Arabidopsis thaliana: one gene and its partner. The protein of the gene in region 1 interacts with the protein of each later gene in a pairwise test. Each region holds a gene or a part of one and is shown on either strand. Other genes may lie near its edges.

Region 1 (6,270 bases):
ATTTTTAAATTGAGAGATTATGTGTCGAATTGAACAAATAATCACCAAACTAATTAGTAATTTGAGCTGGATATGTAGTTTAGTAGTTCGAATTAGTGTCCTTTTGTGATCATCCCAATTTAAATTTGAGAAAATTTATGTGGTTGAAAAGAAAACTTGATGTTGACCCGTTTAAACAATGGGGGTGTTGGATGTATCTTATATACTTTCTACACTATTAAAAAAAAGTCACTGAGAAACTAACTATTGGAGCCTTATTTAGGAGCCGAGAGGTTAGGTTTTGGGATCTGGTTACAATCGTACTGTAAAAAATGAGAAAAATGAATGGGTGTGGTGCGGAGTTAGTAGCCACCCACTCCTTTAGTCAAATTGTGTCCCAGACTATTGTACTTGTAAGCCTAATACTTCCAAACTTCGCCGTAATTTATTTCCCACATGCTTTTGGCCCAAAATAAATTCATTTTTTGTACTTGAAGTCAAAACTCAAACCTCATGCCAAAGCAATAAAAAGAAGAGACTCTACAACGAAATGATATATTATATTTTCCTCTGTTTCAATTCAGACTATTTTTTTTCGATCGTGGTAGAAAACATTCTGACGGTTTGAACATGTAAACGTTTGAGGTCGTTGGTATATATGGAAATGGTTTATATCTTATATGTTTTCTCGGTCCTTGCTGTTTATTTTTGTGCTTATAAGATAAATTAAGATCATGTTATTTCGTTTATAGTAGTAGGTCATAGTAGAGGTATACCATACAAATTCACTCTACAAAACTCTTAACCACCTAAAATGATCCTGACTAGGTGTTCTAAACGTTAGATGCTACTCTAAGCCCCTGCTGCATATATAGTGATTTTCTTGAACACTACTAGGAAGATTTATATGAGATCTTACCGCTGACCACATTGGCGATTGACAATAAATTTCTTCAGTATGTGAGTATATAAAACGGTGAAATTAAGCCTGCTTAAGTGTTACATTCCTGTGTTGTGTAGATTTAGAAACTTAAGCATAACGAGTTTTAAACAAACTCTTTGGCCTAAATGATCATCATTGACGACATTTGTTAGACCAGACCGGTTCTGTGATAGAAAATTTAAGGATATAACTTTATAAACCAAAAAAAAAAAAACATGATAACATGAGTGTGCTTATGGGTGGTTTGTAGTAGGTAAAGACAGAAAACCAAAGTGTACGCAAATACGGTGTCGTATCCGAAAACACGACCTTATTCTTTCTAAACTTTGACCAAAACCACCTATCCCACTTGTCTTTGTCTTCTAAACTTTTTTCTCTCTTTCCCACCCAAAAAAGGGAAAATGAAATGGACAAATGGCCGTTATCACGGCTTGGAAACGGAGGGAGCGTCTTTAACGGTGACCAACGATGAGCCATTACCGTTAGCAACTATTGTAGTGGATAGGTTAGGAGACAAAGGAACGCCGGTATCTTTAACGAAGGGGCTACGAGAAGGACACGTGGCGGTGGAGATGGTGGTGGCTAACGAGATGGGCATGAGGCAAAGACCTTTGCCTTGTAGATATTGCATGGCTGATCCCATGTCCTCTTCCATTAGCTTTGCAACTTGGTGCTCCGTCATCTTCGCCTCGCCGGAGGAGGAGGTGTTTTCGTGGGATCCACCGGCATCCTGAAAATGTTCAATAAAATTAAAAAGAAAACAAGAAAAGCAAAACCCTAAAGCTATGATGATGTTGAAATGGGAGGTTTTGGTATTTGTTGGAGAGAAAGTAGGCACGCGTGCCCTGTCCTTGTTTTGTTTTTTTTACTATTTTTTGGAAAACTTTTTCATTTGTTTTTAGAAAGTCGAAAACAAAACTACTTTTTAATTAGTATTATTCCCTAACTAAAACCTTTTCAATAATTTACATCTCTTTTTAATTAGTTTAAAAAATAAAATCTCATTCTATATAGTGATCACGTCATCCTATCATCCCTTTTAAGAGAGAAGGAATTGAAATTATTACCTCAGAGATTTGAGAAGAAGCAGAAGCAGCACCGCCCAGTCTACTCATGCTTAGTACCTGCATACATAAATTTGCCAAATATTATAATTAAGCAAAAGAAGAGGTAGATATACACTAACACTATGTTTTAACAAACGCAAAAGATAAATAATTTACAAGATAAAAGGGAAAGGGAGCATATGGAATTTTAGTTGCAGAGGCCCATATTCGATTTCTTATTCTAATGTCAACTCAAAGGTAAAGAAGCTTCCACTCTTATAACAAAAACAAATTTAAAATTCTCATATCTTATAAAATAATTCGAGAGAGAGAGAGAGAGAGATTCACCTTGACTTGGAGCTGTAAGAACTTGACATAATCGATAATCTCATCGAGCATTGATGCTTTGTCTGTCTGTTAATTATTATTTTTAACAATAAAAAAAACCTTGTTAGCAATTCTGCATCTGTTTATTAAGTATTATTATCAATTAAATTTTAGAATTAATTAGCTAATCAGTGTTTAATCATTTGACTGCATAAAAGTCCAAATCTCTAGATAACCTACTAAACTAGTAGCAATTTGTGGTCCAAGACTAAAATACATCAGTGTAACTCATATACTTAACACATTATTCATTTTGAGATATATACTATTAAAGAAATGTAAAATACAAATTGGATTATTTGAATCTACTCTTTTAATTATATCAACTTTGATGATCGAAATTTAGACTAATGAAGATAATTAAAATTTACCTTGTTACCATTAGGGACAAGTTCTTGAAGAGATTTCATTCTTTCCGCTATCCTCTCTCTCCGTAACTGTTCCATAATTTCAAAATATTTCAATAATCACCTTAATCATCTAAATAACTTTATACGTTTTTCTCGGTAACTGAAAAGCGAATAATGAGGAAAAGTTAAATAAAAAAATCGAACCCGTTCGGCGATACTGTGAGGATCAGTGGCTTGACCTCTCCTAGCTCGGACTTTAGGCTTTGTCTGAGGTTGCGCCGTTGCACCACCGGTGGTGGCTGACGCCGTCGCCTGCGACTGCGTTTGCGTTTGACCTCCCGATCCCTAAAATATATATCAGAAAACATTAAATTAAGACTTAACAAAAGAACATGTAATGAATGTTTTCTCTTTTGTAGTAATTTGCAAAATGAGAGAGAAAAAGTGGATTATCAGTTATACTTGAGGGAGGTGGAAAGGGAGAGATCCGGTGGAGAAGCCATTGAAGAGAGCGTCATTAGGATGGTTATGTGACAAAGGAATCATAGTGATCTGGTTTCTTGAATCGGCGTCGTGGTGGTGGAATCCAGTGACGGGGGCACAATCGGAAGTTGGTGGAGGAGTGTCGTCGAGAACGGATGAGGGCCAAGGAGTGGAGGAGAAGATGTGGTGGAGGAAATCATCGTGGTCGAATGTTGCAGGAGATTGAAGATGTGGAGAAGGAGATGATGAAGGAGTTAGAAGAGACGAGGAGTTCATGGCTTCTGTTTTTTTTTTTTTTGGTGGGGAGTGAGAATGAAAATGAATGTTGTTGAAATGTCTTTTGAGGTTTAAGGCTTTATGGTGTTTAAAAGAGGGATGGAGATTGTAATATTTGAGATTTGAAGGGTTTGACTTTGACATGTTAAATACGTTTACCAAATTTACCATTTTTTTTATCATCCTTGCAAATTAATTATTTCGTGTTATTTTCATAATTTCTTGATTTTTTTAATCACTAAAAGAATTCGATCACTGAAGTCATGATTTCTTCAATTTTATAATCCTTTGTTGATAATATACTTTTCACAATTTTGTAGTAACTACAAAAAGTAAGTGAAACATATATTTCTAAAAATATCATAGTCGATCGAATGACAGGCTTAAAGTAATAAAACTAACTTAAAATTCGGTTGTACTAAAAAAAAAAAAAAAAAAAAAAAATTCGGTTGTACTAACTTCACTCAAATGATTTACGTATGTTTAATTATCTTTTTTTTTTTATTTAAGACAGAATGTGGTTCTAATACCGTATATTATTAAATTTCTATATATATAACATAGGTTTTTCTATTAATCATTTTTGAAAACTCATGTTTAAGATAATTGTATAAGATTTTCATTCGGTAACATTAAAATTGGTTTATTTGAATGCTGAATAAAATTCTTTGGATTTATGTTAAGGATGCCAACTACAAAAATAAAATAAAATACAAATCTCTATTGTTGATCTTTTTTATTAAAATCAGTCGGAGTTTTAAACTTGTCCCGGCAACTACGTACCACGAGATAAATATTTGCTAGTCCAAAAATGCAATAGTCTACAAGATAACACCAGAGCCAACACTTTTTCTTGTGACAACTATTTTAGACATATAATATTTAGACATGCAGTATAAATGCATACAATTATACTCTATTCATTTGGGTACATTCATTCATTCATCAACGGTTCATGATAATGTTCTCTTCATATATTACTGTTTACAATTTGTCCCCAAGATTACAAACATGCTATCCCTTTAGACGATACTCGTGTTCGATAAGAATAAGATCACTTTTTATAGATTATTCTTGTTTTGTTTTCTGATTAATATGATACCGATCGATGAAATTGTTGTTTTAACCGATCTGATTAACATTTGGGAAAGAGGATCCTCTCAAACGAGAACATAACATAACAGAACATCGTCATCATCATCATGTCATGTTACCATGTATTTTTTATACTTGTTAAATATTTTTTGGTCTAATAAATTCATCATTTACCTTAAAAATTCTTTTTTACCATCGTATACAGTTTTTCAGCTGTTTGATAGTATTTGATTAAGATTAATATTAAATTGACAAAGATAAGTAAAGAACATTATTATGCAATATGCATGATTAAGCACATGGGACATTCTGAGTTTTGCACAAACTCACAAGAGGTAGAGATCGGCTTTAATACACTTCCCATTTATTAATTACAAATGTTGGTAAGCATTGATGTACTACACAACAGAAAGAGAGATCTATCATCTCATGTATTAGTATTATCAAGAGAATGCAATAATTATTTTTGTTTTTACTTAATAATCATAATGTATACCAAAATAATTAACTAAGGGGGTGTAAAATAAGTTACGAATGATAATTTAAATTCCATATAGAAAAAATAAACAGATAGTAAAGACAAAAATGCTACTATGTTAAATAAACTATTGGTCCCATCTAGTATACTGATACATTAGTTTTATTTCATATTATCAGTAGTTTTTTCTATTGTTTATATAAAACAATACGTTTACAATAGGAAGGCAGGAAAATAAACCATATGGTGCACAACCATTGTAGACTCAATCCTGACAAAACCCAATAAATTTGAGGAACTCCCTCAAAAATTACGGCTTTGTTCAAATTGAAAAACTGGCTCTTACGATCTTAGTTTGGTACACAATCACGTCTGATTTCCCAAGTTCTACTTATTCACCTATAATGAACTATAAATATAATCTGTAAATATCAAAAGGTGGGCTTAACTAGGCCTTGGGAAAATATTGAATTATTTAACCTTGTATGAATCTGACAAACTCTGATTAAAGTCTTGGTTCTTACTCTATTAGTCTAATACAAATAAATAAACATATCTTATTTCCTTAAATGTAATTTCATTCTCTTAAATTATACTAAAAAAACTCTACTTGAGAAACATGAAAGCTTAATTTGGCTTGCTGTGATTGTAGATGAAGCTGAGTGCTGGACGTGCTCGAAATGCTATTTTAATTTGAGAGAAGAAGATGTTGATGAGTTAACGCGCGTCTCAATATTTTGTTGGCCAGTGTTACGATTTTCGAATGTTAAGATTGGGCTAAAAAGGGAAATAAAAATGTCTAAAATTATGGATCTCGGTTATGGAAAACCAGAAATATACGTCAAAACCCGAACATTCGGTTCGATTAAACGATAAACCAGGATAAAACCTAACCGGGTCGTTAAACCCAACCGCCTCCTTGTTTGAGAACAAAAAAGAAGCTTAAACCCTTTCTTCCTCCGCCGCGTTCTCAAGCTCAAGCTCAATCTCAATTCTCAAGCTCAAGCCTTTTCGATTTTTCTCTTTAAAGACGCAATTTTGCTTTCGCAACCCTCTGTGTGATTTCGTTTCCAAACGTAAGCTCTACTTTTGTTGTTTAATTTCCAAGGCTTTAGCAATTAAGCAATTAAGCAATTAGATTGATATACATAGTTGCTCTTAGAAGCTTCTCTTTTTTTTTTTTTAGCCTGGATTTAATTGTAAAGTTTGGGGATTTTGGAATCGAAATTGACT
Region 2 (4,907 bases), on another chromosome or scaffold:
GGTAAGTGTCCACGCATTACTAACTCTGTGAACATTAATGGCGTTACATAGCTTATACAACAGAGTAAATGATCTCAATTATTTTATATTTTCCGACTATAAAATAACATAGCTTGCTAATCGAGATGGCTTCTCACATTCACAGTCTTGGAACTTAACAGAAACATTGTTTCTTCCTGTTCTGTTTTGTAGGTCTATTACTGACATACCTAGGTCTGTATCTTATGGACGGACATGGCCAGCCGGCACTATTGTACATCGTACCCTGCACACTCGGTAAAACCAGAAGCTTGAGTTCCCTTTCCTCCATCTGTTTTTGAACACTCCTCTCCATCGTTCTCAAACAAAACCTGATGTGTTTTCTCTCTGTAGGTTTGGCCGTCATACTGGGGTTGGTAAGAGGAGAGCTTAAAGAACTATGGAATTACGGTATCGAAGAATCAGAGTCTCACACACCGGAGGATCCAATGCCTGTGGCATAATAACATGATTCAACAATATTCTAATGATGTGTTATCAATCAAACTGAATTAGCTTTTCCCCAAAACATCGAGCATAGCTTAAGCAGATTTCATATGTGAGAGGTACACAAAAGCTGATGATGTAAGTTCTCTGCAAAGCCAAAGTTAATCGGATACCAAAAGTAATTCAAGACACATCGGAAAGTACTGTATTATATCGTTTTTTTTTCCTTGTTTTGGGGGAGAAGAAAGAAAGGTTCTCTAGTAAGACTCATGACATGTTGTACAGAGTCTATATTAACCTTCTCTTGAATTCAGACTCGTTTTTGTAGAATTTCAAGTATAATGCAAATTCCCTTTTGTTAATCTTTGTGTGTTTTCTTTTTTGGGAAAAATAAGTCTTTGAAAATTCCATAAAACTTGAAAGTTTGTTCAAATATTATTCGACTGATGGAATGAAATTCTGACGAAAACGAATGCACGAATCAGATATTTGATGTGAAATATGTGGAATTGACCAATTTGTCTGTTTACGTACACGTGTATAATAATTGACAAATTAAAGTAGGACACTCGTATGAAATATAAGTATGACCAACTGCATAAATAAGACGTGTAGATAATCCTTCCAACGGAAAATGTGATTATAAAGAAAACAAGTAATCAGAGTCTTGTAATTTTTGTTAATAATGTTGTTGTGAGCGACCATTTGAATTCAATCCGACATAAATCATGAAATGTTAGAGTTATACAAAAAAAAAAATCTCTCTTACCTGAAAAAAGAGTTATACAAAACAAAAAAGGAGTTAAATTATATATATTCTACAAAATTCTTTAACCTATATAATGTCAAGTATTTTTAAGACTTATTCAAGTAACTCCGTGTTAAACAAAAAAAAATCATTTAATTAAATGATTCATAATTCTATAAATATATATTTTTAAAATTATTAGATTTATCATATATTTTCTCAAAAACATAAACAGTCGTATATGTATAGGAGATATATAAATACAGAATGTATATTTTATGATAGTTATAATTCCGCTATAATTTTCTTATAACTAATATGTTATAACTTTATATATATAATCCATCCATAGAAACATCATTGACGAATAACACAATCAAGAGGAACCAAGTAAATTGCATAGCTTAAAAGAAAAGAAGAAAGAAAATTCTCTTAGCATATGATAAGTAATAAATCCCCTTTTATCATATGACAAGGGCAAGTTACCAAGCCCTAATGTTTAAACCGGCCATAGCATATGATAAATAATAAATCCCCTTTTATCAAAATTCAAGAAAAGAAAAAGAAAAAAATCTTTCGTTACTTCGAGACTAATACATATCCACACATTTCATATATGTATCCTATCTTACACGTATGTATATATATAAGAATATATATATATATATATATATATATATACACATATATATTCGTTATGATTACCCCAATCCAATAGACTATGTATGTGTCGTATCTCTATATACATCGATCATTGATGATGATGTTGATGATTAATTGATGATCATTTGGGAGATAAGCCATCAACGAGACACTGCATGACCTTGACCTGCATACTAAGGCACTTGATGTAATGAGCCGTCTCTTCCATCAGCTTTGACGTCTCCATTCCTCCGCCTCCCGGAACAAGATTCCTCAGCCTCTCCGCCGCCTCCTCCACCACCGGAGCTCTCTGGTTACTCCTCCTCCGTTTTGATGATATCTTCCACTTCCTCCTTGAAAATCTTACGATCTTGTTGTCATCTTTGTCTGCTCTACGCAAGAGGGCTCTGCTCCATAGCCGGCTACTCCCTCCGGCTGCTCTGGCCATGGAAACGTACGCAGCCTTCTTGATCTTCCTCACGCGGTAGTTTTTTTGGTCCGGAGTATCAAAAGGGTTTTGTTTTCTGAGATTTGAGAGGGATTGGAGGAAGTGGAAGGCAAAAACGTCCTTTTCAGGGACATCTGTGTTTATGAGTTTGTCTGCAGAGGCCATTGTTTGGGTTTTTTAGAGAAGAGAACTTGAGTTGAGAACCTTTATAAAACTTTTTTTTTTTTGAGAATGACACAATATTAGGGTTAATATAAATGGAAAGGTGGAGAGAGAGAGAGAGATAGAGAGGAATAAATAATGTTTATTTTTCCTTGTACTTAACTTTTCTTTATGTTTTTTTATGTCACAAGACACACAACTATTCAAATTCTCTATAAAGTTTAAATTTAAACTATAGGTTCAACTATTTATAACTCATGTTCTAAAAAAAAAAAGATGTGTTAATAGCTTTGAAATATTGAATTTTGGAGCTTAATTGGTCCGTCAAAGTTACGTTGCGTAAAAATATGAGAATATGAAGTTATAAGTGGCAGTTTTCTTCAATGGTGAACAGCAAATAAATACAGTTCTATGTTTAACTTTGGGGGTTTACTAATATTAGTTCAAATTTTTTGTAGATTCGTCTGTTATGGTTTAGTGGTTTGACATCGATTGCTTACTGGTGGCTACTTAGATGTGTAAATATATCATTATGTGTTAGAATTTTAAAATGAAATGTGAATTGTATAACCCATGTATTTCGGAAAAGTATAATTTACACCTAGTGTTATAAAGTCTTGAATAAATAAATGGGCAATTAGTGGAAAACGATGTTTTGGAGCTTGAAGAAAAAAGTTGATGCCAATAGATTAACAGAACTTGGCTATTTTGGGTATATATATTTGACTATTTTGAAATTTGAAATATTAATGTATACTACACCCAAATACAATATATATAGCATTAATGCTCGTATACATCTTAGCTAAAACAAAATAATAATTCGGATGATGTTTAAGTACTAGACGCAAATTAATCAAGCTCGTTTGGTTCATAGCTTGGTATTAACGGAAAAAAGAGCAATTTAGAGCAGACATCAGATTATGGAATTAGATTCCAACCACACTATTATGTTTATTTGTTTGTTTTTATAAAAGGTTAATTTAGTGACGAATGCGTATGAATTCATTAACGTGAACAGCTAATAGAGACTATTATGATAAAATTAGGTAAGCTATATACATATATGTATGTATTTATGTTAACATTAGTTGACAACTAATGACGATTAAGATGGAATATGATCGATTGTGGAAAACATATAAGCTCATTTTCAAGGCAAAAGAAATAACAAAACCCAAAATATCAATTTAATTGATTCATTACTTGCTCGATATTTACTTCCACAAACAAAATTCAGCCAAAATCCAACTCTCGTGAAACGACTGATTGAGGATGTTTATTCGAAACTGAGTTTGAACTATACGTTAGTTTAGAAAGTAACACCATTGAACCTGAGAATAACTATGATTATTTCGACGATATAAAGTGTTAATAAACTTAATCAATTAGCCACTCGCATCATCAAGATAAAACGTGTTTAAAATTGATCAGATATATAACAAAGTATTCACCATGCAAGAGAGCAACAACAAAATATGAGATTATTCAATTGGCTTGACCAATAGATGACGTTACAATTTATATACACCAAATATTACTAACCAATTTAGAAAAGACAACACATGAAAATATAAAAGAAGAGAAGAGAGACTTGAGGAATACGATAAGTGTTTGGTTAAGGCTATAATTTAGCATTAGTCCCATCTCTTTTGTGTTAATCACTCTCTCCCCTACCGCTTTGCCGCCGGACGTATTTTTCACGCCATTTAATTCTTTTGTATAACATCATCATGATCATATTTATCTTTTTTCAAGATTCAGCTCCAAAATCCCTTAAATCTCACTGTTTTCTCTAAGGTTTCAAATTTCACATCTATCATAAAAATACGTTTAAAGATTAACAATTTCGGGTCAATAACAATTTACAAAATTGTTGATATTAGGAGTGAAACCAAATGAATAAGAAGGTGTTAATCATATAATAAGAACTAAAAAAGAGTTGAAGAAGTGGTAGAGTAGGTCCACTAATGGGCCAACCACCACATGAAGGCACATGGCTATGGCCTTTACCCACCTCCACTTTCCTTTCTCTCTTATCTTTATCTTTAATTTTTTTTTGTTCTAATTATTCAATTAATATTAACTACACCATTCGTTTTCTTTGATTCTCTTCTTAATTTAATAATAAGTCGTTGGGGGCGAATAAACTTTATCATACTAGTTGATTAAAATATCCCAACTAAAAATGTAAAACAAAAACAAAAGAATAAATGCTATTGGTCATTTAGTAATAATGATTTACAAAATGTTGAAAATCAGAACGTGTGAAAAGCCACGTAAGCACTGACGCCTCTTTTGTTGTTAAAGAGGAAAAAAGAGTGTTTGGTTGTTTTATTACGTTATGTTCAAAATGAAGACGGCTGATTAAGCTTGACGTTACAACTGTCGGCGACTTTGCTCCGTAACTGTTGACGTGGCTCCGTTTTACTTTCTCCGGTG

Evidence for each region. Proteins that work in one complex are often made in the same cells at the same time.
Region 2: the proteins of LRL2 (region 1) and IBH1 interact in a two-hybrid assay, tested with the Arabidopsis thaliana proteins (one large-scale study listed by BioGRID).

Annotation. Positions count from the first base shown.
Region 1 is NC_003075.7:15,078,143-15,084,412, forward strand, and holds LRL2 (LJRHL1-like 2), read right to left. Parts: upstream 3,634-6,270; 5' UTR 3,609-3,633; coding exon 3,168-3,608; intron 3,051-3,167; coding exon 2,910-3,050; intron 2,793-2,909; coding exon 2,727-2,792; intron 2,383-2,726; coding exon 2,317-2,382; intron 2,047-2,316; coding exon 1,990-2,046; intron 1,653-1,989; coding exon 1,347-1,652; 3' UTR 976-1,346; downstream 1-975. UniProt on the Arabidopsis thaliana protein: Transcription factor that regulates the development of root hairs. Transcription factor that regulates the development of sperm cells.
Region 2 is NC_003071.7:17,906,808-17,911,714, reverse strand, and holds IBH1 (ILI1 binding bHLH 1), read right to left. Parts: upstream 2,709-4,907; 5' UTR 2,469-2,708; coding exon 1,998-2,468; 3' UTR 1,505-1,997; downstream 1-1,504. Other genes in the region: SPPL3 (SIGNAL PEPTIDE PEPTIDASE-LIKE 3), read left to right, coding at 1-1, 193-276, 373-482.